3 linked regions of the Macaca mulatta genome follow. The protein of the gene in region 2 purifies or fractionates together with the protein of the main gene of each other region. This does not show direct contact. Links are inferred from orthologs where the notes say so. Each region holds a gene or a part of one and is shown on either strand. Other genes may lie near its edges.

What was found.
Region 1: the proteins of HNRNPA2B1 (region 2) and HNRNPH1 purify together in Homo sapiens (affinity purification with mass spectrometry; 5 studies listed by BioGRID and IntAct, with this or other methods). This does not show direct contact. The link is inferred for Macaca mulatta from reciprocal best matches to the Homo sapiens genes HNRNPA2B1 and HNRNPH1.
Region 3: the proteins of HNRNPA2B1 (region 2) and HNRNPH3 fractionate together in Homo sapiens (co-fractionation; 3 studies listed by BioGRID and IntAct, with this or other methods). This does not show direct contact. The link is inferred for Macaca mulatta from reciprocal best matches to the Homo sapiens genes HNRNPA2B1 and HNRNPH3.

The regions. Positions count from the first base shown.
Region 1 is NC_133411.1:188,576,040-188,585,954, forward strand, and holds the start of HNRNPH1 (heterogeneous nuclear ribonucleoprotein H), read right to left. Parts: upstream 9,114-9,915; 5' UTR 8,712-9,113; intron 8,068-8,711; exon of another isoform or gene 7,672-8,067; intron 7,555-7,671; 5' UTR 7,524-7,554; coding exon 7,427-7,523; intron 5,813-7,426; coding exon 5,657-5,812; intron 5,451-5,656; coding exon 5,307-5,450; intron 3,822-5,306; coding exon 3,683-3,821; intron 2,735-3,682; coding exon 2,556-2,734; intron 2,472-2,555; coding exon 2,400-2,471; intron 2,344-2,399; coding exon 2,210-2,343; intron 2,058-2,209; coding exon 1,922-2,057; intron 1,516-1,921; coding exon 1,456-1,515; coding exon of another isoform or gene 1,426-1,455; intron 1,364-1,425; coding exon 1,274-1,363; intron 638-1,273; coding exon 545-637; intron 89-544; coding exon of another isoform or gene 39-88; intron 1-38. UniProt on the Homo sapiens protein: This protein is a component of the heterogeneous nuclear ribonucleoprotein (hnRNP) complexes which provide the substrate for the processing events that pre-mRNAs undergo before becoming functional, translatable mRNAs in the cytoplasm.
Region 2 is NC_133408.1:102,191,705-102,201,619, forward strand, and holds the end of HNRNPA2B1 (heterogeneous nuclear ribonucleoproteins A2/B1), read left to right. Parts: coding exon 1-49; intron 50-210; coding exon 211-357; intron 358-651; coding exon 652-862; intron 863-1,001; coding exon 1,002-1,103; intron 1,104-1,190; coding exon 1,191-1,271; intron 1,272-1,772; coding exon 1,773-1,835; intron 1,836-3,967; coding exon 3,968-4,087; intron 4,088-4,321; coding exon 4,322-4,444; intron 4,445-5,105; coding exon 5,106-5,167; 3' UTR 5,168-5,188; intron 5,189-5,344; 3' UTR 5,345-7,714; downstream 7,715-9,915. UniProt on the Homo sapiens protein: Heterogeneous nuclear ribonucleoprotein (hnRNP) that associates with nascent pre-mRNAs, packaging them into hnRNP particles.
Region 3 is NC_133414.1:81,431,741-81,442,385, forward strand, and holds the start of HNRNPH3 (heterogeneous nuclear ribonucleoprotein H3), read right to left. Parts: upstream 5,400-10,645; 5' UTR 5,234-5,399; exon of another isoform or gene 4,346-5,233; intron 386-4,345; 5' UTR 363-385; coding exon 251-362; intron 1-250.

The sequences.
Region 1 (9,915 bases), on a different chromosome or scaffold from region 2:
TTGGGAATTTAAATTATATTTTTTGAGAAAATATTTACCTATGCAATGTTTGATTGAAAATCACTGGAGTTTTCCTGTAAAACTTGGTCTGCAAAAGGATTTTGTAGGGTAAGACTATAATACCAAAATCACCATTCTTTAGACCAATTGAAAAAAAATAAATAAAACCAATCCTAGGTTAACTAATAAATACGGTCCTGAACCCAACCACCATTCTACTATTCCAAATTCTCCCTCCATCTAAAATTGATGTACTGCTAACCAAAAGATAAAAAAGCGAACAACTTTATTTAATGTTTTAATAAATGGAGGCAGATATTTTCTGGCTCGACAGTATTCCAAAGTTGCAATGACTAGTTTTTTATTCACAGAACACTTCCCCCTCCCAATGATTGTTTCTGAAAATTAAGCTAGTAAAAAGTTACATTTGGATTGAAAGCATACATTTAATAACCCAATTTCACCAAAAAGGAGCCTGCACCTTCCCAACTAAAGAAACCTGCCTAAAACTTAATTCTAAGTATATTTAAAAAAACAGGCTTACCGTATCCACTCATGCTGCTCTGGCCACCATAGCCGCCTCCGTAACCTCCACTCAGCTGCTGGCTGGCTGGGCCACCGTAACTGGACTGGTTTGCTGTTAAGTTAAGAAAACTTTAGAACCTTGTTCCTTACATAATGTGGTACCTGGTGGTACCGGGCTTGTAATTCTATATCTATATTTTCCAGTCTTGATCTTATATTACTATAACCCTCTGCCTCCTTCTGCCTACTGTCTATAACCGGGCTACCCTTCTATCCATCATTTGAGCTACTCAAATATTTATAAACCAAAGTGCTAACGGTATATACATCAGCAGGACTAAAACCCACAAGATTCCCTAAGTAGAGGCATTTTGTGAAGATCTTATGAAACTGCCTGACTAGATTTAGTGGGGTTCCCCCTTAGATATATCAAAGGCACGTCAATACACCTAATTATGCCCACATTTATCTTAATCCTATTTTGCTATTTAAACTTTATACTCAGAAAATTTAAGTAGTTTCACTCCGTAGTCCCCTCCCCCAAGAGTACTTAAATCTAATTTGAATTATCTATCCTAAGGAACTTCATAACAAAGATTTAAGTAAGCCAGATACAAAATTCAAATATCAAGAAACTGCTTTCTTTGCCTAAGTTTGTTATGCTAAACTTATTAAATAGATTAACAACTTATAATTGACTTATACAGATATAAACGTTTTGGTTTTTAAAAAAACTAACGATATTTACACAAGCCCATGCCTCCCATCATTTGGCTACCATAAGCACCACCGCTTGCTCCTGCTGTAGAATTCAAGAAGAGTTCTACATATCTGTGTTCTGAAATGAGAGAAAAGGCATACAAGGTTAGCTTAAAAAAAAGACACTAAAGTGATATTTACACAAACCCATGCCTCCTAGCATTTGGCTACCGTAAGCACCACCGCTTGCTCCTGCTGTAGAATTCAAGAAGAGTTCTACATATCTGTGTTCTGAAATGAGAAAAAAAAAGTTTGAAAATGTTTGTTGGTGAAACACAACAGGATAAGCACTTTTATAAAGTTTTTAAACGAGCAGATCTGTGAACTTCAAATACCTTGGCAAAGAAAATTCTAGCTACTTCTCTTAGGTGATCTACTTTAACTCTAATATCTAGCCTTTACATATTCATCTATGTTGTCAATTAAGGATATAAACTTCAAGATGTGCGTATCACAAATCCGTTAGACTAATTTTTAAAACCCAAACCTTCTTCAACCCACTGCCCCCCATCCCCCAAGAATTAATCTATTACTGGAGAGGAAACTTCTCATATATCCTTATTTTTCCATTTCTCTATTGTAAATGTTAGTCACACAATCACCTGTTAAGAGCCCACAAACGCTCAATCACACTTACGCATATTTGCTTTGTCTTTTGACATAGCTGCCACGGCATCTTCATGAGTTGCAAACTCGACATCTGCTTCACCAGTTACTCTGCCATCAGGACCAATTTCAATGTGTACTCTCACAGGATTGAGTGGTGAAAAAAACTACAACACAAGGCATTTCAAAGAATTAAATCAACTTTCTAATGTTACAAAATAAAACTACAATTTCTAACACAGTGCTCACATTTATAGAGTAAGGCTCAGACTTTTACTGCCATACTGAAATAAGACTTGTGAGTTCATCCTACACTTACATTATAAATGTCATTCTCAGTAGCTCTGTAAGGTAATCCACGCATGTGTACACAGTGTCCTGTTGTGCTCTGGAAAGTAGAGCCACCATCCCCGTATCTGTGATCAGACATTCCTGAAAAACAGTAATTGAGGTCTAGATGGACAAGAGTGTAAGCATCCTTCAACTGAGAAATTCAATTCTTACCTTACCTCTTCCAAATCTATCTGACCCAAATCCATAGCCATCATTATAGCCATTGTAATCGTCATAGCCTCCATAGCCTGAAAGACAAAGTACAATCCATCAAACAAAACACCTAAACAAAGGAACAGACTACTTGCCAAACCCTGGGAATCCTCACGTACCTCCACCGTAAGCACCGCGCCTCATCCTCTCAAAGCCAGCTCCTCTGCCAATGCTGTTATACCCTCTGCCAGCCCCAGGTCTGTCATAGGGACCTGGCCGCTGCATGGCCATAAGCTTTCGTGGTGGATCATAATGAGTTCTAACTTCAGCTCTACTGCTCTTAAAGATCTCAATATACCTAAAGCATCGTTCATAAGGAAGGGGTAGGGAGGGGAGAGACAACATTAGTTCATTTTATACAGGTATTTAGTTACACAAGAAATACAATCTAGTCATAGCCATGAAACTGACTAATATTTAAAGCCAGATTTCTTATATTTGCATAGGCAATGACCAGAAATTCACTCAATAAATAGTAAGACAATGTAAACTTTACAGAAAAAAAACACTCACTCCTCCTGAGGCAGAGCCCAACCTTAGGGGTAGAGAGGAGTACTGTAAATAAACGTTCTAGGAGGGAAATAATTCCACTCAACTTTCAACATTTCAAGTCTTAAATCCATTGGCAGCATGTATAGCAAGTGGGCTAAAAAGCCAGCCTCCACCAACAGTCTAGCCCACACTACACATTTCCTTTCGCCAATAAATACCCCAGCCTATGCTTTTAGTAAGAATCAGCATAGGTAAGCGCATGCTTCAATGAAAAATAGTCACAAGCAAAGAGAATAAAACCTTTTGTGACAATTTCTTGAAAGCTATGCTTATTAATACTATGCAGAATATTTATATACAGCAAGAAAAAGTTTGTTGCATTTCAACTTTAAAAACAAGATCAGAAAGTATCACATTTTCTTATGGTAATATTAATTTACTCTAGGTGGGTGTTATTACAGCTAAAGCCAGGTTTGCATTAATTTTTTAAAGCCATAGTCTCTCAACTCTATTGATTGGGGTTAATAAGACTCACAAAATTGTCAAGTAGACCAATTAACTAGGGACAAATTTTAAACCTAAAATTTAGTTTGCGTGTAACATGGGACTGACACAAGAAAAGTTTGGAAATCATGGCAAAACATCAATTACCTAGGACTACAAAACATTAATTTCTTCTTTTAAGCAGAGAGAATATGGATTTAATTGTTTACCATAAGAAAAGTGACATATCCAACCAACCATCCATCCCCACCTGTGCCCTATTCTTTCCTTGTGTTTCTTTAGAGCCTTTTCAGCTATTTCCTGTGAAGCAAACTGCACGAAGGCCTCCCCCGTACTCCTCCCCTGGAAGTCCACCGGCAATGTTATCCCATTTGGCACGATTTCCAACCCTTCAACCCAAGGACAAATAACCCCAGTAGGGGGGCAATATTAACATCACAAGCCCAGAAATGATTCTTCTTATAGCTTTAAATAAACCAGAACTTTTAACTTTAGGTGAATGGTATGCTTTCAACAAGTACTCTTTAAATATGCATTGCAATAATATGAAGTTCCATTATTACGAAGTATAACTATTCTTAACACACCCATGGTACAGTATAAATTAAAAAAAAAAAAAACTTGCTGAACGCAGGATGCATTAAGAATTCAACAACTTAAGAACACATATCTATGCAACTTAATGTTGAGAATTATACAAGAATTCAATTAAGTTTTAAGCATTAAATAACAGTTTTACTAAATTCAAAACACCTTTTACCTCATTTTATATTTCAATGCTTTAAGTTATTGGAACTTCGTCTTTAAAAAGGTATACATTTAAACATTTCATATAAAAACTAAAACATTAAATTATAATTGACAAACATAACAATCTAAACTTTCAACAAAACTGATCTACACAGCACAATCATGCATGCTTATGCTCTAACAGTAGTTATGATTCACTTCTGGAAATTCCGTCTATGAAAAATCCTTTCCGTGGATACATTCCCAAGCTTACAAAAAGGACTTAAAGCACTTTCCTAGAAGATATGAAATTATGTTCATATTTAACGTTGACAGATAGCATTCAATTCTCACCAATTTAGAGTAAAAACAAAACAAGACTTGATTTTTAAAATTCTGACATTAGGACTTGATACATATATAAATTTTTAACATACTACACTAAACCATGAAAGGATTTCTTGCTTCCAGTGTATCACATCATAAATATTACTATTTAAAATATACGATATCTAACATTGTTAAACATGCAATCTTATCAGCTCTTCAGCATAAAAACATTCAAATACTTTAGGCCCAGGAACAATTTCAAAACACTTTGTTATTTCAGATACTGAGACTACAAGCATTCAAACTACTCTCACTACATCTGATTTTCAGTAAGTTTATATCACACTGGTTAAACCAAGTCTTTCATAAATCGACTTCTGCATTAAAGAGAATTAGACCATTCTGGTCACATGACCCAAATGTGTCTCTTGCAACAACACAGACACTTGCCATAATTTACAACAACCTAATTCGTCACACTAATCTGATGTTAAGGGATCTTACCTTTAACGTGAAGTACTTAGCTGGACACCAATGTGAGGAAAAGCAGTTAAGCTGTTGAGGGCAATCCTCAATGAAAGATCTACTCTGAACTATAATACTAAATATAGGCAAAGTTAACATTTTGGAAGTACTTCATTTCCACCTTTAAGATGGGCTTAAATTATTTGAAGGTCTCTAGGAAGAAAACATTAATTCATTGGCAATTTACACAACCTATTGAAATACCTAAGCTACTCAACTTTAAGGTCTATTAAATCACCTTGCAGAAGCTAGCCAAAACTCACTGCTCATCAACAAACAGGACTACATACCTGAGAAGAACTGAACAATTTCTTCCTTGCTACATCCAAAGGGAAGTCCTCTAAGCCGTACAAAGCCATCATTGGCCGTGTCAGGACTATTTGGACCAGTATGCTTCAACACCCAATCCATTTCAACGTTGTTTGACTTGAATACTGAAAGAGGTGCTTAGAATTAGTCACTTTTGGAAAATTAGGTAACAAAGTTCAGACTTCCTGGGTCTTTAGATAAGCTAGGAAGAGCTGCCACAAACTCCCTTAGATGACCATTTCCATGCAGTCAAATACCTAAAATTCAGAAGGGGTAAGACCTCTATTGTTTAATGCTTTATTTACTGTAACTAGGGCAATGTAAATCAAACCTTCAACATATCTGTGTCCCATAGTTTCTCTGTCTTTTTTCAGGGCCAATTTGACTTCATCTTCTGATTCAAGTTCAACAAAAGCCTCGCCACTTGGTCTGCCTTCTCTGGTGTAGATGAAACGAATACCTTGAGCCCCATTTTGAATTTTGCAGTCTGGAAAGAAAACAACCGTTAATACGGAATTTAAAACCTAAAACCACCTCTGGGTGACACAGATTAAATGTCTATTCCGTGTCCCCACTACAAATTACGTAACTTGTGAAGCCTGCATATAATGATGGTATTACCAACTCCTGGAACTCCAATAAAAAAAAAAAAACCTCATTCCCAAGGTGATGTATTTCCAACCCATCAACAACATACAATATTCAAAGCAGTTTCAGAATGAATTTCTCTCTTAAGTCCCTGCTACTTATGTCCACATCACACATCTTTTATCAATTTCTCAGAACATTATCAAGCCTGGACTTTGTGACTTTATGGCAAACCTACTTCGTTGCGAGTTGCTTTGGTCTGGTCTGGCGCGTTTGTCAAGTTTTACCTTACCAGCAGCCACATTACGGTTTCTCATTCAAATCCAAATTACAGGCCCAATACTCACCTGAAAGGGGATCAGTGTTACCAAGCTAAAATGCTCCAAGTTGCACAGCTGAAGCCAAACCCAGCGTTGCCCCCTGCAAGGTGGCTTCCAGTGTACTTGGTTCTTGTTTTACAGGTCGTTTTCCGTTACCAATGCTAAATTCAGATAGTAAGTCAACACTACAAACGTCTTGCCAAAAGCTGTCAATTTCATACAAGTAGAATTTTATCAGTCTAATTTTTCCCAGTCTAATAATGGGAACAAGGACATTCTGATAGAAAATATTCAGGAAACCTAGGGACTGCAAAAACACTTCCCTGGGTTTCAGTGTTTTCAATTGTATAGTCAGCCAAATTAAGAACTAGATGAGCACACACTCTTCAATTACCAAATCTTGATTAGGAAAACTGAAATTAAGACGTGACATTTTAACTTTCCGAAGAATGCTCCTTTTCAAGGAAACACCAGAACTGGAAACAAGAGATTACACTTCAAGATACTGAAAAACATTACTATTATTGGTCTAATTACTCGGCAATTTTCTCGAGATTGAGGAGGAAACCCACCTATGCCAATTCATCTTTTCGCAAAAAGACACCGGAGCCAGGCGCGGTGGCTCACGCCTGTAATCCCAGCATTTTGGGAAACCGAGATGGGCTGATCACTTGAGGTCCAGAGGTTCGAGACCAGCCTGGCCAAAATGGTGAAACCCCGTCTCTACTAAAAAAACAAAAATTAGCCGGGCGTGGTGGTGCGCGCCTCTAGTCCCAGCTCCTCGGGAGACTGAGGCAGGAGACTCGCTTGAACCCAGGAGGCGGGGGCTGCAGTGAGCCGAGATCGCGCCACTGCACTCCAGCCTGGGTGACAGAGACTCCCAACACAAAGGAAAAAGAAAAACGACATCCATAAAAGAAAAGTTGGTGTTCAAAGGTAGTAAAGAAATCAAAGGGTCTGCCAGATCTGCCGCACTCCCCCCGCAGGGCCAGGAGGACGGGCGGGGCTTTCGAAAATTCCATTGCGTAACCGCGGCCGGCCGGGCGCGAGCCACACGGCGGTGAGTGCAGTCGCCCGCGCCTCGCCAGGGGGCGCCCCGGGTCCCGCCGCCCCGCCCCGCCCCAGCCCGGCTGCCCGCCAGCCCGCCCGCCCCGGCCTCGAACTCGAACTCCCGCGTCCTAGTTCTAACTCACCAGAAAAAAACCTCTGCACTTCATCGGCCGAGCAAGACCACGGCAAGCCCCGGACCTTCACCACGAATCCCTCTCCGCCTTCGGTGCCCAACATCATCGTCTCTTACGCGGTCCGGCGTCGAAACAAACTGCAAGGCGGGGAGGACCAGACCTGAGAGCGCCAATTAAGCTGTCCTCCGCCTCCGAGGCGCCCCCGGGCCCGCACCGGCCCCCCCACCAAGCAAAAACCGGGGGGATGCACCCACCCCGGCGGCTCCAATACCCAACACCTCCTCGTCCGGCGGCCGGACCCCCAAAAGCTGTTCTGAGCAGCAACCGTCGGCGCCCCGAACCGTGGGGGCCCGGGCCGAGCCAGCGTGGAGGAAAGGAAATGGCGGCGGCCGCTTCCGCTCCGCCTCCTCCGACTTCTCACACAATAGAGTCGGCGCGGCCTGCAGGCCTCAGCTGCGGTGCCGACATTCAGCGAACCACTCGCGGCTCTCGATGGCAGCCCGCAGCTCGCCAAGGTCCCCGTGGCCCTCCCAGAGGTATGAGGACAACCAATCCTCGCAAAAACGGCGCCCACGGTGGTCGGTGAACTGCAAGCGAGGACCCACCGAGACTCACCCAGAAACCCGACTTCTGCGTGGCTAAGACGAAATGGCCAGCGGGCGCCTGCGCAACCTAAATAAGGCCCTTTGTGCGAGTTCTGCGCACGCGCAGCCAGCTGCCCGCACCGCCCCGTTGCGTCACAAAGAGCTCTGGCGCATGCGTAGTTTCAAGAGCCAGCCCACCGTCCGCCGGCGGATTATTACACGCTTGGGATTTGGGCGCAGCACCCCCACCCATAAACCCGCCGGGCTTTTTATTGCGCATGCGCCTTCCCGCGAATATTGAACTTGGGAGTCTTAGCGGTTTATAATTGTTTCATGCGCATGCGTCTTCCTTGAAACCGTTCTCTAGCCTTACCCGCCAGCGTGGGGGAGGGGAATGGCGGCCGCCTGTTCCCTATGGGACTGTATAGGAGTCCCGAGCTCTGGGTTGAAGAGGTGGGCGTCTTTCTACCCCTTACCCCCTGGCTCTTACCGGTGCGCTCCTGGCCGACCTGAAAGGAGAGGCGCGGCCTTCAGGCGTTCCCACTCCCCGCGCCGCCTGTCTCCCCTTTATCCCCAAACCGGCCGAAGCTGATCAGCCGCAGATGGTCGAGCGTCCTGGGAGCTGCGGGGCTGCGGACGTCCCGCGCCCGAAGCCACCCGGATGGTGCCTGGGGCACGTCCCAGCCATGTGTGCCTCCACTTCCCCTTACCTGCGGTCGTCGGGCCTAGGGCCCCGGTCGGCGCGAGGTTCCCGTGCCTGTGGCTCGCGCCTGTACCCAGCTTTTGCCTAACGAACTCGCACCCTGTGTACCCCTTGACCCGCCTCACGGTCGGTGGGCCTTCCGTGCCCTGGGGCCCTGGCACGAGGAGGAATCGCGAGCGCGGGCTTCTCCACGGGTGCGTGCCGGCCTCTGCCCGGTAGGTTACCGCTGAATCTCCCAGGACAGAATCGGTAACAGTGCGTCCAATCCCCGGGCGTAGACGCCGCATTCGAGGAGACCCCCGGCTCACCCCATGTGCACACATGCTGCCAGATGAGTAATGTTCGTGGTTTCTAACAGCACTGCCCAACACCGAAGATGCCGTAGCCTCCCAGGCCTCCCCAGGTCTGAGCTGGCTGCCCTCCTCACCCCAGCTCTAGTGGACACAGACAATAAACAAATTAACAATAAGGCAGGGTTGGACCTTGCCGCAGGGCTACCTTAGCTAGTGCAGGCCTAAGTGCCACCCTGGGAAGATGCAGACGAAGCATGTTTCCAACCCCAGGGCCACAGAGTCCGAATCCAGTTTTGACAGGTTTGAGAAAAGTAGAGAGGACATCAAAAGAAAGACGGGAGCCCAGAGCTAAGCAGGGCCTGATCTTCAAAAGCCACTTAGGCCTTGGCAAGGATGTTAACTCCGAGAGAAGGCTTTGGCAGGTGATCAGCAGGGGAGCAATAAGCCCTATGCAAAGGAAAACTTGCTGGATGTGAGGGGGATGCAGATGGAGCAGGCAGGGTGAATGACGGTACATGCCATGCCCTCTACTACAAACGGAACTGGAAGCACATATCTGTGGTACCATTTCAGAAAACACTTTGGCTGAGGTAATCAAGAAGAGAGACTCTGGCCAGGTGCGGTGGTTCACGCCTCTAATACCAGCACTTTGGGAGGCCGAGGCAGGCAGGTCACTTGAGGTCAGGAGTTTGAGACCAACTTGGCCAACATGGTGAAACACCATCTCTACTAAAGATACAAAAATTAGCTGGGCATGGTGGCGCACGCCTGTAATCCCAGCTACTCTGGAGGCTGAAGCAGGAGAATCACCTGAACCCAGGAGGCAGAGGAAGCAGTGAGCTGAGATCACACCACTGTCCTCCAGCCTGGGCAACAGAGAAAGACTCCCTCTCAAAAAAAAAAAAAATATTAGCCAGA
Region 2 (9,915 bases):
AAGTTTGAGGAACTATTACGAACAATGGGGAAAGCTTACAGACTGTGTGGTACGTAAGTTACTGAATTGTTACTGTATGTTAGTATCGTAGCTGTTTAAGTGAATCATGGAGGAAGTAACTATATCAGCATAGTAAATTCTATTATAATGACTGTTTACTTATAAGTTATAATGAGATTAAATGCTAAAGTTTGCTCTTTGGTTTGAAAGGTAATGAGGGATCCTGCAAGCAAAAGATCAAGAGGATTTGGTTTTGTAACTTTCTCATCCATGGCTGAGGTTGATGCTGCCATGGCTGCAAGACCTCATTCAATTGATGGGAGAGTAGTTGAGCCAAAACGTGCTGTAGCAAGAGAGGTAAGCAAACCATGACTGTCTTGTGCAATTAACATAAAGAATGCTGCCTTGCTGAACATCGGAAAGTATTTCTGAATTTAGATTTAACTCAAGATTTTATTAAAGCTCTGTTGGGTTTTTGGACCATTTTCTGAAGCTAACTTATTTGTCAAAAGCTAGGTCCCTAAAAGCTGTTGTTGTAGATCTGGTAGTTTTAAGGTGGATACAAGCCAAGTATGGTACAAAGGTTGGCTACTTTGAATCATGCTTGTGTTTTTTTCTGTCGGGATGACTTTTACCCCACCAATATTTTAGGAATCTGGAAAACCAGGGGCTCATGTAACTGTGAAGAAGCTGTTTGTTGGCGGAATTAAAGAAGATACTGAGGAACATCACCTTAGAGATTACTTTGAGGAATATGGAAAAATTGATACCATTGAGATAATTACTGATAGACAGTCTGGAAAGAAAAGAGGCTTTGGCTTTGTTACTTTTGATGACCATGATCCTGTGGATAAAATCGTATGTAAGTGTCTAACCACAAATGTACTGTTCTTACCATGTATTCAATTTTGTGTATGTTAACATCTAATTTTATTGAAAGGTAAACTTTTAAAGTTGTTTAATGTTGTTGATTTAAAAGGAGTTTGAATTTTTCATTGCAGTGCAGAAATACCATACCATCAATGGTCATAATGCAGAAGTAAGAAAGGCTTTGTCTAGACAAGAAATGCAAGAAGTTCAGAGTTCTAGGAGTGGAAGAGGAGGTAATTTCAATTCTGTTTCTTCAATTCTGTTTCTTCTTTATTTTTATTCATGTAAGGGCTTGCTTCTAACTGGGGCATTTATTGTAGGCAACTTCGGCTTCGGGGATTCGCGGGGTGGCGGTGGAAATTTCGGACCAGGACCAGGAAGTAACTTCAGAGGAGGATCTGGTAAGTTCAAATTCTATGTGTTTAAAGGATGAGTGTGCTTTTATTTTAAATATGATTAGGTTTTCATTAGTAGAATCAGGAAATCAACGTAAATCAAAACCTTTCCCTAAGACTTCAAATAGATAGTATCCTGGCAAGTTCCTGTGACTTGGCCAGACAAGAAGTTTAATAGGGTTGTGTTAATAAGTTATGTTTATCTGGATTGATAATGTAAAATGAAGTGTCATCAGAAAAGCTTTGGCCCCATGAAGTGTCATTCTTATGTATAAATGAAATGGAATCTCTAAAATTGAGACTTGTTCAGTTAAGAGTTCAAAATTTAGGTGGTAATGAGATTTAATTATATGCTTTCATGTTTTGTGAATAAACTAGTAGCACTAGCGTGTGCTTTTCTGAGGTTCTTAATTATTGTGCTGAGGTATTAAGAGAACTGAAAAAATGAGTGTTAGTAATAATGGTGAACAGCTTATAGTAAATGTAATCTTTTTTGCTCCCTAACAGATGGATATGGCAGTGGACGTGGATTTGGGGATGGCTATAATGGGTATGGAGGAGGGCCTGGAGGTCAGTTTCCTCTATATTTTGGTTTGTTTATGTGACTAATACTTAACCATATTGTATATTTAGTTCATTTATATTTTGAGTTTTTAAACATTTTATATTGCCCCTTATAAAGGGCTTAGGTGATAGTGGTCCAGTTATTTCTTTTATAAGTAATTTGACGTCTTAGTAGTTACAGCCTAAGGAATACAGTGCTATTTAAAATGAAAATTTAAAGATAATCATCACAGTATTCCATCTTAAGCAAAATAATTGGATCTAGATATGTTTTTGTACTGTGCTTTCTGGAAAAGTGCAGAAGACTGGATTTAACTGAGTAAAATCTAAGGGGGGAGAATACGTAGGAGAAAAATGTAAAATATGTCTAAACCCTTAACTAGATGGTAAGCATCCCAGGAGAACTTTCAAAAAGTAACCTAAGGAAATTTTCCAAAATGTTCACTGTGCTCCTGGCTACAGATAAGGTTGTGAACTACCATTGAACCTGAAATGTGATATAATAAATATATCAGTTTTATTGGCGTACAGAAAAGGCTGGTGCCCAAGACAGATTTTGTGATAAGGAAGGGACATTTAAAACTATGAGCTGGTAATAGACTTGATTTCTGGTGTTGCCACTCATTAGGTGTGACTTAAGTTCTACCAATTTTAGAGAAAGCTGAGTTCTTGTATTTAACTACAAGTAATTTGAGACTCAGCCCACAACAGAAGCCTTTTTTTTTTTTTTTTTTTCCCTTTTTATAAGGTGGCTTTTGTTTTTTTGAGACAGCCTTGCTCTGTTGCCCAGGCTGGAGTGTAGTGGCGTGTGTCTGCTCACTACAACCTCTGCCTTCCCGGTCCAAGTGATTCTCCTGCCTCAGCCTCCTGAGTAGCTGGGATTACCGGTGTGCACCACCACGCCCACCTAATTTTGGTATTTAGTAGAGACAGGGTTTCTCCATGTTGGTCAGGCTGGTCTTAAACTCCTGACCTCGTGATCCGCCCACCTTGGCCTTCCAAAAGTGCTGGGATTACAGGCGTGAGCCACTGTGCCCGGATGTTTTGTTTTGTTTAGGTTTTGCATTATGTGAAAGTGTTTCATTTGTCCCTACTTCTGTTTACAGTAAAGAACATACTGTGTAGAGTGTTGCGCCTATTTTTTTTTCTTTGAGATGGGGTCTGGCTTTGTTGCTCAGACTGGAGTGCAGTGGTGTGATCTTAGCTCACTGCACCCTTAGCCTCAAGCCATCCTCCCACCTTAGCCTCCTGGGTAGCTGGAGCTACAGGGTGCACCACTGTTAACCAGCTAATTTTGTGTTTTTTTGTAGGGGTGTAGGGGTTTTGCTATGTCGCCCTGACTGGTCTTGAATTCCTGGGCTCAAGCAATCCACCCGCCTCAACTTCCCTTACTGCTGGGATTACAGATGTGAGCTGCTGGGCCTGGCCAACAACATTGTTTTGTTTTGTTTCAGAGAGAGTCTCTCTCTGTCGCCCAGGCTGGAGTGCAGTGGCGCAATAACAGCTCACTGCAACCTTTGCCTCCCTGGTTCACTCCATTCTCCTGACTCAGCCTCCTGAGTAGTTAGGACTACAGGCGCCTGCCACTACAACCGGCTAATTTTTTGTATTTTTAGTGGAGATGGGGTTTCACCGTGTTAGCCAGATGGTCTTCTTATCTCTTGACCTTGTGATCCACCCACCTCAGCCTCCCAAAGTTTACAGGCGGGAGCCCCCGTGCCTGACCGAGAACATTGTTTTAAAAGATGTAATTCGTAGGGAGACATAATAGAAACTTTCTTTTGGGCCAGTAGGGGGAAGTGCTCTTTTACTTTCTCCCTAACCCACACTGCTAGTCTAGCCTCACAACCTTACCCACTATATACATGTAGTATTTCAAGATAACTTAAGATTTTTAGTATTGAGGGAAAGCTGTAGCGTTACAGGTATTTAAGTGGGTACACATGGTGTTATCCATTTGGCTGGGTAGGCACTCTAGCCACCACATGTTTACCAAGGGTAGGTATTCAGTCCTTCAAGCTGTTTTAGAGGAATTTCATTGAATGTTTCACATGCAAACTTGGAAATGGATGTGAGGAGACAGTTCAAAATGGCATTGAAAATATTAAGTGATTACTTAAAGGCTTATTTTATAATAGGTGGCAATTTTGGAGGTAGCCCCGGTTATGGAGGAGGAAGAGGAGGATATGGTGGTGGAGGACCTGGATATGGCAACCAGGGTGGGGGCTACGGAGGTGGTTATGACAACTATGGAGGAGGTAATAAATTCACCTGCAACCTTTATGTGGGAATTTGGAATTAATGGCTTTGTAATACTTGATCTTTTATTTCAATGTTTGTCACTAGATAAAGTGTTTGCTTTTGTTTTTGTGGGAGCTTTGTCCTAAATCCTTAGCATGTGTCTTTGGTTTAATGTTTTTCTGGTTTAATGTTCTTTTGGTTTAATGTATTGTTCTGAGGTCCATTATACTAGTGTTCCAATTTTTTTATAGGAAATTATGGAAGTGGAAATTACAATGATTTTGGAAATTATAACCAGCAACCTTCTAACTATGGTCCAATGAAGAGTGGAAACTTTGGTGGTAGCAGGAACATGGGGGGACCATATGGTGGAGGTAATTTATAACAATTGAGATTTTTCAGATGTTTGTGATTAAAGGATTAGCCTTTTGTGACTTAAAGGGAAAATAACATACTAAATAGTTTGGGTTGTGGGATATACGGTCTTAGTGAAAATAAAGAAATTTTGCATAAATCTCCACAGAAGTACTCAGCAAGCAGTTACAACATCAAATTGGGATTAGGGGTGTTGGAGGTGGGGAAGTTCAGTAGTTCAATTTCTGGTGGGGGCTGGTAAACAGCTAAGTAAAATTGTAACCCACATTGCAAGTGGTGTAAATTGGAATGAGGGTCTTTGAAGTTAAATTATTAAACCATGATTCAAACCATTGCTTAGCTTATTCTTGAGGTTTTTAGCAGGAGTAAACATTTTCTGTGTCTTGGTCTTGGTGTACTTTAAAAAAATCCCTTAGTCCAAATGAGGATGAGAGGACCCTTTATTTAAAAGAATAGCATAGCATCAGCCACGAAATAAAAATGTCTATGAACCTGAGTAATTTATCTCCCAAGTAATTCTGCTAACTGGCTGCAAAGGGTTAGGATCTGCTTGTTTTTATTAAAGACTGGATGGATAGAAAATAGAATCAGCTGTAGTGTTATAGTGATTATGGGAAATCAAAGTAAGTTTGTTTTCTCTTGCTGTTCCAACAATTATAGGAAACTATGGTCCAGGAGGCAGTGGAGGAAGTGGGGGTTATGGTGGGAGGAGCCGATACTGAGCTTCTTCCTATTTGCCATGGGTAAGTAGCTTTTGAGTTTTACAATTATTATTATCTTGGGAGACATAGCTGCAGGAGTAAAAGCTTTTTAGGATCATGTTATCTTTCCTTAAAATCTGGTTAGATGGATAATTTCATAACCTATTTTTTTTTTACTCTTTACTTCTGTTGAAACAGGCTTCACTGTATAAATAGGAGAGGATGAGAGCCCAGAGGTAACAGAACAGCTTCAGGTTATCGAAATAACAATGTTAAGGAAACTCTTATCTCAGTCATGCATAAATATGCAGTGATATGGCAGAAGACACCAGAGCAGATGCAGAGAGCCATTTTGTGAATGGATTGGATTATTTAATAACATTACCTTACTGTGGAGGAAGGATTGTAAAAAAAAAATGCCTTTGAGACAGTTTCTTAGCTTTTTAATTGTTGTTTCTTTCTAGTGGTCTTTGTAAGAGTGTAGAAGCATTCCTTCTTTGATAATGTTAAATTTGTAAGTTTCAGGTGACATGTGAAACCTTTTTTAAGATTTTTCTCAAAGTTTTGAAAAGCTATTAGCCAGGATCATGGTGTAATAAGACATAACGTTTTTCCTTTAAAAAATTTAAGTGCGTGTGTAGAGTTAAGAAGCTGTTGTACATTTATGATTTAATAAAATAATTCTAAAGGAAATTGTGTAATTATAGACTTTTTATTTTAAATAAGTTAAGGAGTGGGTAGTATAATTAAGGTCCGTTGCAAAGCTGTTGTTATATTTGTATAAGATAAATGCTGGTCAGATATAAGTGTGTTGTCTGCAATTCATCAGGATTAAATTATGTAGATAACTTAAGGGATATCTCTGCAAGGAGAAACACCTTTTTAGATCTTTTAGATGCTGCTTCTTCAATGCAAGGAAAGGAAATAACCCCAGCGAGGTACTCTTCAGGGACACAGGTCTAGTACAAGAGAACTCTTGACGGCTACTAAGTTCAGCCAGTCTTAAAAAACTGTGCTGTTTCTACAAAACTTTAACTACAGTAGTTTTTAAGGATGCCAACGAAAGCTGAGGGTGTAGAGCAAAATAGTTCTAAGCTTCAGTTAAACTTCTTTAGGTAAGATCTTATTTACTTTTCCTTTCTTAATTTTCCTCCCTAAAAGATAAACTAATACTCTTAAATGGTCTTTCAGTATAGTGGTTCTTACGTAGTTTAACATAGCTATAAATTGAGTTTAACAATTTATAAACTCAAGAGAATAATTTTTATAAACCCTGTTTTCCAATCTGTCATTTACTTAAATTATTTTGGTTGTTTTTCCCTTTTTTTCCTTCTTTTCCTACCCCCTCCCCCTCCGTGTGAAGATTTGGGTGCTTAACATATCATTTTTTTCCCTGCTGGAATTTTAGCATTGATATGAACCATGGACAAGTATATTCTGCTGCCACAAAGACTGTAAAGTGCTTCATTTCAACAGCTGAGGCAAGCCAAGTGATCATTAATAAAGCTTTTCTTGGTTCCTTCAGTGGTGTTGGTAGTAAAATGGTAGGTAAAAGTTAGGCTGCAAGTTCAATAAATCATGAGATTTCCCATCGTTACACCCTTGTGTATTCACATTTCTTGGATCAAACATTTTGAGTGAACTAGGGGTTTTTATTAAAGACATTTGTTGTATTTATGGTTGTAACTGTACATGCTTATCAGGAAGAGACTGAAGGTAGGGCAAAAATGGTTGAATCTATTTTCAGATAGTAGTTCATACTTGAGTGAAGTGTCTGTCTACATTATGAAGCCTGTATGTATCCAGTACCAAGTAGGTGGGTTAAATGTGGTTATTTTAGTTCAGTGTCTTACCCTGAAGAGAAAGTTGTAGTTTGGCTGTTGAAATTCATTCCTTAGATACCATCAGTTTGATTGCCCGGCTTTATTGCCTTTACAGGAATGTGATACTCAGGGCTTACTCTACTATATGCACCAGTGAGTCTTCTTTGATCCTAAGACCACCACTGAAGTTGTTTAGGTTCTTTTGGACAAACATGATAAACTTCTTCAGATACTTTTTTTTTCCTTTGGCAGGAAGGTGTCTTGCTGCAGGTAACTAATGAAGAAGTGGTCAACCACAGAGTCTTCAAGAAATAAGAAATTCTGTACCATCTGAAAGTAGTTCTTGTTGGTGCCTTCATTTAAAAAGCACTCTTTAAAATAAAAGGGAAATGTTTTCTGATAAAACAAACATTTAGTTCAGGTTCTTGATATAAAACTTAAAAAATGAGTATTGTTTGTAAAACTAACATCAAATTGGCTAGAGAGAGAAATGTATCATGTTTTAAATTAGGTTTTGTGAGTAGACAGATTACAATTCTATTTTAAATATAAAGTTTATAAAATAAATATTTTTTGTATCCAAATACTTGGTGTAATGTTTACACATAAAATGTGTGAATCTTGTTCTATAAACATTCGGTTGTCTAAAAGATCACCATCCCCTAAATTTTTTAAAGCAGTTTGGGGCTATGCATATTTTCTTTTAGTATTAACAGATAAATGAGAAGAGCATTGTGGACATTATTGACTGTCCCCAATAAAATGCTGTTCATTATGCACTGTATATTCAGCGTTTGAGTACTCCTACTAAAGTTTCTGGCTTTACCTTGTATGTTCAGCAATACTGGTGGCATTTTGAAAATCATGGATTTTAAAGGTGAACCGGCCAGAGTGGTCTAGATTAACTGGCTTTGCGAAAGCACTGAGGGCTTAAAATATGTACTAGATTGTCACATGTCAATTAGTTTTATTGTGTTTCACACAGAGTAAATGAATATCAGTGTTTTTTTCTTTTTATGTGTTTATTTGGACATTTATCTGAATTAAGAAAACCAAAAAATAAGGGCCAAGTTAATTGATTTGTTTCTATGATTTGTTTTGGTTTTGATAATTTGAGATCTAACAGGTAAGTCACACTAACAGTGGGTAACACATAGAAAGCACTTTTCTGTTTTAAATAGCTGAATTCATCACAGACTTGTACAAATATCCCAACTTCAGGAAAATTTTGAAGTTTTAAAAATGTTTGGATGTACAAAGACGTTGAACTTTGAAATACATCAGGTTGATATGCATAACCTCAAAATACCAACTCCTATCTAGCAAGGTCAAGGGAATATCACACAAATAGGGGAGAATTAGGTAAATTACACAATAGACTGAAATGAACTGATGGAAGAAGAGTTTACTGAAACATAGTGTAATGTTGGATATTCAACATAGGCTTATTTCCTGTGTGTATAGTGTTGAATCTGTTTTTCTTGGAGAAATTGAAGTTTAAGGTAGTTCTTGTGCAGCTTTGAGACAGTGCTCTAAAATAAAGAAAGGCTGCCTTTTGTCCGGGGCTTTATATTGTTGCTGTGTAACAACTTACTTTTAGAGCAGTTTAGAGAAACAAACTTCAGTATCTATGGGTCAGCAGTTGGGAGCAACTTAACTGATTCTGGGTAAAGCTCACAGTTTGCAATCACAGAAAACTAGGATTGGATAATTTTTTTTTATATATCCAGAGTGGCATACTAACAGGGCTGAAAAGTTAATGCTGGTTGTCATCTTCCCTCGGTGAGTGAGCAAGAAAAGCTGTAAAATGAACACACTACAAAGTAGTCATGCCATCTTACATCCTTTATGGTCACAGAATGTGGTGGGAGGGTTCTATTCACTGGTAAATTACCAAGCAGGCAAGGATCATTGGGAACTATCTTAGATGCTGGCTGTCACACTCAAGGGTGTGCCCTTATTCAGTTTATGCATGAGTGTAAAACCGGATTTCCCTGTGTAAGGTTTTCCTTGTAGCCCAATTCGGTAGATGCCAAATTGCTTGACCTAATAAATGTTAGGTATTGGGAGCTAACAATGTAAGGCAACAAGTCTCAGTTTGTCACTGATGGTTGAAAAGTGCAAAAGGTAGAAAACACCTATCAGGTCACCTGGAGTGCATGTTATTTAAATTTGCTATCTTTAAGGTTTGGAACTAAAGTACTGGGATGGTTGACAGGCCCTACATAATTTTCACATTTGTACTATTTAGTAATGCACTAACACTGGCTTGTTTGGGAGGGGAATTGGGGTAACCAGTGAGTTGCATGGATTTACCAGAGAACAAATAGTTCGAAAACTGAGATGGGGAAAGAAGGATCTAGCCACTTGAGTGCATTTAGGGAAGTTAGTATTACCACAAAAACCCTGTATACTGGTTCTGTAGCTCTGCTCAACTGAAGCCTGCCTTTTCCATACAATTGGCCTAAAATCTGATCACACTTCGGAAGATGCTCAAGTGACTTTTAATTGGAAAAGATATCCTACCCACTTGGGTTGTCTTTATCCCTATCTTCCTCATTCTGATTAAGACGTTAGATACTGTAATCAAGATTACTCAACTAGGTAGGTAAAGTGGAGGGTCCTAGGCAATGGTGGTTTGGTTTTTGGCATTGACTTTGTAATCTAGTTGGTTTGCACTGGAAAGCAAATGTGGAATTCCTTCTACCTTTAAAACTGGACTGTCGGAAAAGCAGTTCGTTTATATGTCTTGAATCCAGCATGTTAAGATGGAGACGGGGTTGTGTCAGGAAGCCAACCCATAGCCAATTAGATCTTGTAAAGCTGGCTGCTTAATGCACCAATTAAAAGTCCCTTGGTATGGGAGAGGGGACATCAGTTTCAGGAACCTACACTACCAAAATATGCTGTAGTCCTCTTGTATGAAACGTGTATTTGCACATGACC
Region 3 (10,645 bases), on a different chromosome or scaffold from region 2:
CATATACTAATTCACGGTTCATTTCATCACAATTCTCAAATATGTTACTGCACATTAATTAGGTTTTACATATTCTACACATTCTGTATTGAATATTAATTGGAGCATATTATTTTAATACATTAACCAAGACTATCATAGTTAAACTTCAAAGTTCCAAAATCAAAATGGGTTTTACAAATTAAAAACAGTGAAACAATACAAATATAAAATTACAATATTACTAAACTTTGACTAATACTAGAGGTACCTTGAAAGAACTGAACTATTTCCTCTTTGCTGCAACCAAATGGTAGTCCACGAAGTCGTACTGTCCCATCACTAGCGTCATTTGGACCATTATGTTTCATAACCCAATCCATCTCAATACCGTTTGATTTAAATGCTATAAAAAATAAACAAGCACATAGAGCAGTCAATCAAAACATACTCTTGTCAAGAGGTAATGAAGAAACACCTCTCAGAGGTGCCACAAGAGGAAATGTAACATGGCGCCAACTCCCGTGACAATGCCATGACAAAACTGTAGACCACCTTTCATATTTTGGGGTAGGGAAAAAGCAATGAGACCTGAGCCCTCCTACGGAAAAGTACTGAATTTCTTAGTATCAATATTATGTATTGCCTAATTTTAAGAAAACTTGCATAATGCTACTACCAGAGTCTTCAAACTATTTGACTGTGTCCCCTGAATGCCAACTCTAGCCTTTCCTTATCTCTCAACTTTTGATTCACCACTTTTCAGGTTTTTATTCACCTGATTATTCAAATTCTTTAAAACTTATTCAGAAGTTGCATATAATACCAATATCCACTAACATCAAAAACCTAAGTAAAAAATGCAATGAGTACTGACTCATGTTGGAAAAACATCACATAAGTCTAACCCTTTTAAATGCACTACAATTTTGAACACATCAAACTGTCTTTGAAGGGCCAACACTCTCACCTCTATTTTAGCCAAATCTAGTTTAAACTCACCAAGAGTAAGATTATAAAATGACTGAATTAGATTAAAACTGAGGTCAAAGGCTGCTCAAAAGTGAATGCCTTCCAACAGTACCTGTGTTTTTGAAGCCACTGGACAGTGTATAGAAACCAGTTTACTCAGCTTTTTAATCAAATAGATTTAAACACAAACTTTAAAAAATACATAATATACTTTTTAATAAAGCATAAAAGGTACATCTAGAAGCCCCCCTTCCCCTCCTAAATGACTTCAGTTCCCAGTTCCCTTCCCCAGAGGCAACCATCCTTCCGTTTAAAATTACATAGTATTTACAAAAGAGGCGAATGCAGAAGTCCTTCAGCTGCAGAAACTTACCAGAACCTTACAAATTTCACTATGCAGCTGTAGGAATCCTACTCACCTGAGTATTTCAAACCTTTCCCTCACCACCTCCTCCCCTGTAAACAAAACAATTTGTTCATTTGATTCCTTTATGTTTGAAGATCATATTTCGTATCAACAGCATTCACTAATGCTTAATTTCATGTCATCTATTTGTTGGTGCAACTCTTAGGGGTGGCATCTGCAAAGGGTAAAGTTTTTTTTTCCTAGAATTCATGCATTTAAAATATGCACACAAATAAATAGTATGAATCCCTATTCTGCCGTTCACTGGTTACCTAAACCACTTAACCTCTGAGCCTCTTCAATTGTAAACTATAGCAGTGGTATCTATACCTCACTGCACTCTTCAAGTGCTTGGTCTGCCTCATGTTAAGCATTTACTGATGGCAACTGTTACTGGATTTTAAGGGGCCCTGCAAAAGCCAACAAGATATACCATACACAAAATATGTGAACCTTAAAGGACAGAAAACAATTCAAACCTCGAAGAGAACTGAGAATTGTTAAAAATTTTATTTCCCAAAGCCAGCGAAGGCTTTTAAAAGTTTAATACTGAAGAGTAGCTCTGAGAGGAGGAGGCCCCAACCCAGTTTGAAAAAAAAAAGTTCAGAGATGTTTTGAAAACGCCTAGCGTTTTATTTTTTTTAAATAGCACAAACCTAAAAAATAAGTGTTTCCCATAAAGGGGGATTTACACATAACGGAAAAAGTGGTACAGATCTACCCTCACTGGTTCATGAAAAATTTAAGAACTCTGCAAATTCAACCTTAATCTGTTGTGAAAGGATCTTAGTAGTTTGCATTTAAGGAGCAAATGCTTAAAAAAAAAAAAAAAAGAAAAAAAGAAAAAATTACTTTACTCATAAATCTTACCAATTCACAAGAAAAAAATACCAGCAAGCCAATTGGATTTTTGGATCGGTCTGTACCAATTATAAGACCCAATGAAAACAAAAAAGTGTTATCGATGTTATCTATAATAAACACTAAACTGTTAACACAACTTTTAATCGCGTAAAACCCAACCAAATTCAAATTCGGAACACTTAATCTATTTTACAGGGTGACCCTGTATGCAAAGCACATACAATAATGAGAGCCTCACTCTACCAACCCCTTCAAAACTAAAAATCCTACCTACAAAACAAAAACAAGAAAAACTCTAAGGGCACAGGAAGAAGCAATCTGCTCTAATAAAGCTGTCAGAAACTACTTAAAACACTTTACTAATTATTCAGGATAATCCACCTCAACCTTTCTTTGCAACAATGTCATGGCTAATCACTACTCTGCTTTAAGAATTCTAGGTGCTAGTAACAATAAAATATACCACAGTTAAAATATGAGGATGGCTTTGGTCAGTTTTATGAGACTTTAAATATGATTTTTTAAACATTACACCAAGTGAAACAAGCCAGTCACAAAAGACTACATATTGTGTAACTCCATTTGTATTCATGATTGTCTGAGGCTTGACGGGAGGGAGAATGCCAGCAAGGGGAATGACCAGTAAAGGGTACTGGTATCTTTTTGGAGTGACAAAAATGTTATAAAATTAAATTGTAGTGACGGTCACACAACGCTGTCAATGTACTAAAATCCACTAAAATGTACATTTAAAATTGGTGAAGTTTATGGTATGTGAATTATATACCGAAGTCATTAAAGAAAAAACATCTACTAGAGAACAAATGAAATAGTGAATCCTCTTAACACGGAGGCACAGCTTATCTTCTGAAGTAATGCATAAACGACTTTATGCATCAATAAATAACTTTCTAAATGGCAGCCCAGTGGTCAAGAAATGAGAATGAATTTTATTTTTTGGAAAAAGTGCTGATGATCTAAGTTTAACAGAAAATGTACATCATTCCTTCCCAATGGGCTTGCTCTTTAAAAAAACAAAAACACTAGACACGCCCCTAACAGCTTAAGGAGGTACGGTCTCTAAAATGTTAGTTTACTATGAACCATGTTTTTATCTACTGCAATTTAGTCAGTTGTTTACCAATACAACGAAATCAAAGATAACATTATTTTAAAAAGACAGTAAGATGGACTTCCAGATAATGGCACAACTGAAAAAGAGGACAGAAAAAAGGTGTGTGTGTGTAGTCCAATCCAATTAGTAAAGCTATTTGTTACAGCATATACAACTTTATAGGACAGTCTGGACTATCTTTTCAAAGGGCCACTCAAAGCTACTGTTTCAAGGTAAGATTTTCGTAAACTTTTCCTTGGCAATCTTGACAAAGCATCACTGAACATCTTCAACAATAGTAAGTTTTTGTTTTTAGAGCTGGAAAAGTAGGTAACAATATTCTTAAAAAGTTTTACATGAATTATCAGAAATTCTTACTCTCAGGCCTTTCCCGTCCCTTTTGCACTGTGTCTTCAATGAAAATTACGGATCCAGTTCTCAGGACCCTCATCCGAATCACACCACCACCACGTGACTGGGTTTACAATTTGTTTTTCTGTTTAATAGGCTTATTCCCTTGTTTAAAATACGATTACAGTGTATTATACTCCTACATTTAAAAAAAAAAAAGGCCTAGACACCAAAAGAAAATAAGCCATAACCGTATTTTGAAGTATTTTACTTCTAGAGCCTTAATGCCAAGAAAAAAAAAACTGCACAAAATACAACTCTTGGAAGATTTAATATCGAAAGGAACTCAATTCCCATACATACACATCTACCATCACTGGGTTGTTTTAACTGTTTCCCAAAAGTGAAACTTAAAAACAAAGTCTAATATAGATGCCAAACTACGCAAAACAATTGCTACATCACCCACCCCCACCCCCAAAGTTCAAAAAGCAACAATCACAGTTCACTGGGCCCAGACGACCTACTTGAAACATGCCCATTTCACATTCCTATTTGATAAATCACCCACTTTTCTGCTTACAAAATCACCCCCGAAGTCCTTATTAACGTTTAAACATGAAAAAAAAAAAAAAACCCTTTGGAAAATCAGTACGTACTCTTTTCGAAGTTCCAAATCTGGAATATAAGGGCCGGCTAAGCGTCCTTTATTCCTCCCAGGAGACTTTCCGTTTATCTAGCTGCCCTAGAGACCAGAGAGCTAGGGAGAGTACGCCCCTTCCCCCACCCCCCAGCAGCCAAGCCTGGCTTAAAACCCTTCGCCACCGGGCGGCGGAATTACAAAGGAGGCCGTCTGCCTCCTTTGTCCTGGATTTGAGAGTTGAGCACCTTCGTCGCCATTGGCTTTCCTCCCCCAGCTCCAGCCTCTCTCATCTTGGGAATCTGCGTCAGAAGTCACTCGCAGTCCCGTCAGCCCAGGTAGCCCTGCCGAGACTGCGGAGGAAGGGAGGCCACGGTGGGAGGCCAGGCCCATCCGGCGCCATTTCCATCGGGAGCGCGCCCGGCAACCCCGATCCTCCCTCCACCCAACTGCCCGGTCTTTCCCTGCTCGCTTCACTACCCACCCTCATCCCTTCCAGGGAGCTTTGACCACCCCCTCCCCTGGCCTTCTGAATCAGTTTTCGGAAGCTGGGAGACAAAAAGTAAAAAGAGCGGGGAAGGGCGGGAAGCCGAGGTGGCCGCGCCACTGTACCCAAAATGGCGGAGGCCAAGCCAGCAGGGAAAGGGGGAAATGCTGGATGTCCCCTACTTCGGGCCTCGGCGTCGTCCACTGAGTTCCACCTGAGCAAGTCCTCCCATCGGCAGGCTGCCCTCCTTGAAGTGGGAGATGATCCGGGAGGCGCAACCCCGCCGCTTCCAAGCGGCGGGCCTCCGAGCGGCGACCACCGCACTACCCCCCAACCCAGCCCCTCCCGGCCTCTTTCGTCCTTCTCCCGACTCCGCTCTCGAAACCACCAGCCCAACCTACCCCCTTTTACTTCAGATACCCTGTCAGGCGATAGTTACGCCGACTCTGCTGCTCGCGGGGTCCAGTCGAGAGAAGGGAGAAGTTGTTTGCCTCGTGTAGCGCTCACCACAACGGTTCTCCCAACCGTCTCCAGCGGTGACAACCGCTTAGGGAGCTGCGCAGCACAGCAACTGGCTTGGGGGGATGGGAGGGAGCGAGCAAGAAGTGGGGGGCGGAGCGAGAACTGCGAAGGCGGCCGGCCCCACTCTCGCGAGACGGGAAAGTCAGGTTCGCCTGGCGCTGGCAGCACGAAGCGCGCCTGCGCGGTGGTGGGCTGCCCAGCTGTTGGGGGCGAGGTAGACAGAGCAGAGGCTGGTCCAGGTAAAGAGCTGTGTGTGCAGTCTTTCTTGCTTACGGTAGAACCATCCAGTTTTCGGGGCATACCATTCTGCCGCCTCGGGGCGATGGCAATGAAAGTTCTGCCAGTGTGTAGAAGGAACTGTGCTGTCGCGGTCTGGAGAAGTTCTCCAGTGATCTGCCCCCACCGTGAACAAATTCCGTGAGGGCCCCGCCCTTGCTCGGCATCGACGGCGCGGAAAGGGCGCCACGTGGTTCGGCCGGCAGACGCGGGGCGGATTTTCTGGTCCACCATGTTTGCATTGTGCAATGAAAAATAGAAGTGTTTCTGGGCCGCGAAGATGAAAACGTCCACCGAGGCCGATTTCGGCTTTCGGGCTGGGTGTCCGCCTCCTTCTGGCCCGGAGCTGCTGGCCGTCCCCCAGCGCGCTTCGTCCCGGTGCGCCGCGCGGGACCCGGGTTTCTTGGGTGAATTCCTGTACACGTTTCCGTTCTCTCTGCAAATCCTTCCTCTCTTTCTCCTCTGGCCTTCGCATTTTCATCTCTCCCGCCGTCAGTGCCTCGGGGACTGATTAGCCTGTGGAGGCCGACGTTGGGTTGTTTTCTATAGTTTTGCGTTGTTGAAAATTGCGCTTCCAAGTGACACCTAATAAGTACATTTTGGTTTTGCAGTCATGCCACTAAGGTTCTTAATGACACATTATGGCCTTTTTTTTTAAGTTCCAAAAAAGGCCGGCCGCGGTGGCTCACGCCTTTGAGAGGCCGAGGCGGGAGGATCGCCTGAGCCTAAGTGTTGGAGACCAGCCTGGGCAACATAGTGAGGCGCTGTCTTTACAAAAAATACAAAGATTAGCTGGGCGTGATGGCAGCGCACGGGAGTAGATGGGACTCCCGAGTAGTCCCAGCTACTCGGGAGGCTGGGCAAGAGGATGGTTTGTGCCCTGGAGGTTGAGGCTGCAGTGAGTCGTGATTGCACCAGTGCGCTCCAGCCTGGGCGACCTTGTCTCAAAAACAACAACAACAAAAAAAACCCCGAATTTCTGCGCGAAGAGTTAAGGGGAAGCCTGGGAAAGAGATCAGTGCAAGTTCATCCTGGCTAACACGGTGAAATCCTATCTCTACTAAAAAAAAAAAAAAAAAGAAATTAGCCGAGCGTAGGTGGCTTGCCCCTGTAGTCTCAGCTACTCAGGAGGCTGAGGCAGGAGAATGGAGTGGACCCAGGAGGTGGAGCTTGTAGTGAGCCGAGATCGCACCACTGCACTCCAGCCTTGGTGACCGAGCGAGACTCCGTCCCACACCCTCCCACACACACAAAAAATCAGTGCAAGTTCCAGTGCAAGGCGTCAGGAAGATGGCATAATGTTAGAAATGTGGGTGAAGCTAGATTGTAGATAGTCTTCAATGTCTGGCCAAAAGACTTTGAACTTTGTGGTACAGACATTGGGAAGTCTGTTGGAGGTAGGGTGAGAGGTGTTAGCAACGTAGGAGGATGTATAATTTTTTCTCCCATGAGATCTGCGGTGTGTAGGATGTAAGACATTTTAAGGCTTTAATTCATCCTCAAACCTGCCTAAGACGAGTGTGGGGCAGTAAGAACATGGTGCTCACATACCCACAATGGCCCACTCCCTAAAAGTACTGAGTGGAAGGCAGAAAGGACAGTGTTATCACAATTAAAAGAGATGGAAAACCAAACAAGGATGCTGTGATAACAATGGCTCATATTTATTTTTCAGGGTTGTAAAGAGTCAGCAAATTGAGTATAGTGTGTAGCATAACCTACACACTGTACTCTTACAACCCTGAAAAATAAGTATCTTCATTTTATAGATGAAGTGCCTAAGTCCTAGAGAAGTGAAAATAGTTGCCCAAGGTCACACAGTTGAGTGGTAGAGCTAGAATTGGAGCCCATATGGTTTTACCCAAGGGCCAGGGTCTTAAAACACTATGAACCTTCGTGAGGTTACAAATATCTATAACTTAAGGAAACAGACATCGTTTTTGGAAAATTGAGGTTATGTCACCTAATTAACACTGGAGTTACCATTTCAGGAGACCTGTGGTTACTAGCTTATTGGCTGGAGACTTTTTGAACAGGCCTGAAACTTTATAGTCCCATTATCACTGACACTGTGAGTCCCAACCCCTCTCCGTCCTTTTAAAAAAATAATTGCTGTATTAATAAGACTCTAAGCTCCCACAATTCTGATGGAGTTCTTCCCTTGGTCCTCCTGGGTTCAAGTTACATGGCTATTTTTATCCTTTCGGTCTTTCAAACTGATTTGGTAGATGGAATTCTGTAATCTCCTTCACTCCTTGCTTGAATTCAATTTGTTTTACTGCCTGACTGAATTTGGCATTCCTGCCGCATATTTTGTGTGGTTATGGGTCACAATCTGAAAATCATTCTAATGACATGAATGATTTTTCACTACCAAACTGCTGCTTGCTTGCTTGCTTGCCATAATTTCTTTGGATTACGCACTCTTTGCCAATGTGCATGCTCAGTAAGGACTTGAAATTGGTTTACACGTTCCCTTTGCCTTTTTATTGTTACAGTAGGAAGTTTTGAGTTAAAAAATACACTATATAGGCTGGGTGTGGTGGCTCATGCCTGTAATCCCAGCACTTTGGGAGGCTGAGGCAGGTGGATCACGTGAGGTCAGGAGTTTGAGACCAACCTGACCAACATAGTGAAACTGTCTCTACTAAAACTACAAAAATTAGCTGGGCATGGTGGCACATGCCTATAATCTCAGCTACTTGGGAGACTGAGGCACAAGAATTGCTTGAACCTGGTGGGGCAGAGATTGCAGTGAGCCGAGATCGTGCCACTGCACTCCAGCCTGGGTGACAGAACGAGTCTCCGTCTCAAAACAAAAAACAAAATGCTACATAGGCATAAATGTACATTTTATTTGGCTTCCTACTTTACTACTTCTCTTAAAACAACAACAACAACAACAAAATCTTGTCAACTATTCCCATTTGCAAGTTGTATCCTGTAAATAAGGCTTGGTGAGACTGGCTCACCACTGCTCCAGTGATCCCTACAGAATTGTTTCCAGACCTATCTCTGTGGAATTGTTTCCATAGAGATGGTTAGAACCAAGGACTCCCAGCTGCTTTTGGGACTTTCTTTGTCTTCCTTTCCATCATTCCAGTGCTTTCCTGTTAGCACAGAGATCAGAGGGACCCTGGAGAGGATCTTGTTAGAGACCATAATGAGAGAAAAGATGAAAAAGGAAAAGGAAATAGAAGTACCCATGCGACCCAGAGGAAAACAAGACAACGAACACGTGATCATGTGTTACACTATCAGGTTGAAGAGGAGAGGAAAATTCCGTGCAGAGCCTGAGAGAAAAAAAAGAAAGAGAAATGGAAAGAGATTACACCCTTGGGGGGGAGGGAAGGCACATAAACGAAAATTTGGTTAAGATATTTGTTCACATATCCCCAATGGCATTGTAAAGTACCATAAAAACTGGATTATCATAATCTTTTGCCTATATGAAAAGCAAATAAGCTAAAAAATGTAACAAAATCCACTAAATCTCATCTAATTAAGGTAGTTAATACCTTTTAAACACTAAGTTTGTGTAAGACTGTGAAATGCTTATTCTTTGGTTTACATCCTATATCTATTGTCTTTAGAAAACACTCATCTCGGCCGGGCGCAGTGGCTCAAGCCTGTAATCCCAGCACTTTGGGAGGCCGAGACGGGCGGATCACAAGGTCAGGGGATCGAGACCAGCCTGGCTAATACGGTGAAACCCCGTCTCTACTAAAAAATACAAAAAACTAGCCGGGTGAGGTGGCGGGCGCCTGTAGTCCCAGCTACTCGGGAGGCTGAGGCAGGAGAATGGCGTAGACCCGGGAGGTGGAGCTTGCAGTGAGCTGAGATGCGGCCACTGCACTCCAGCCTGGGCGATAGAGCCAGACTCCGTCTCAAAAAAAAAAAAAAAAAAAAAAAAAAAAGAAAACACTGATCTCCTTTACTATGGTTCAACATTGTTTCTCAAGACAAGGCTGAATTACACAGTTTATATTCTTGATATTTTTTTGTTTCTCTGAGTCACCTAAGTGTTCTTTGTGAATCTGGCAACCAAAAGACCTATTCAATCTTAATAATTATACTAAGTAAACAAATGAAAACTCAAAAGGAAGAAAGCACCTAAACACATTTTTTCTCTAATTTTTGAAAATAAACATTCTTTTTGTTCCAGTGAATTGCTGTGAAGGCTAGGGAAAGCGGCTTAAAAAGATAGCTACTTAAATAATTGAAATCAAATTATTATACTGCTTTTCATATGTCATAAGCACATTAATAACTTCGAAAATACAGCATTGATAATACGGTAATAGACCATTTCCCCCAACATGATTTTTTTTTTTTTTTTGAGGTGGAATCTTGCTCTGTTGCCCAGGCTGGAGTACAGTGGCATGATCTCGGCTCCCTGCAACCTCCGCCTCCTGGGTTCAAGCAATTCTCCTGCCTCAGCCTCCTGAGTAGCTGGGATTACAAGCATGCGTGACCACGCCCAGCTAATATTTGTATGTTTAGTAGAGATGGGGTTTCACCATGTTGGTCAGGCTGGTCTTGAACTCTTGACCTCGTGATCCACCTGCCTCAGCCTCCCCAAAATGCTGGGATTACAGGCGTGAGCCAGAGCGCCCGGCCCCAACCAGATTTTAAGCTTCTTGGTGGTAGATAAAAATGTAGCTCTTGTTATTCATATACCTATGTTTTTCAGTCTACAGACAATAACGATGGTCACACTGGGGGCAGTAAGTAATTCATTTTCACTGCAGTCTTGCAAAGTTATTGTTTCATGGACCAAGAAATGAAAAAACCAGGAGATAAAGTAATGTTTCAAAGTTTACCAAAAAAGTAAATGGCAAAACTTAGACTTGACTTCGTAATCAGGGAGTCCCAGTTCTGACACTAGCTACCAGTGAATTGATTCTGAACCAGTTAACTTTTCTGAACCCCAGTTTTTTTTTTTTGTTTTTTGAGGTGGAGTCTTGCTCTGTTGCCAGTGGCGCGATCTCGGCTTACTGCAACTCTCGACTCCCTGGTTCAAGCGATTCTCTT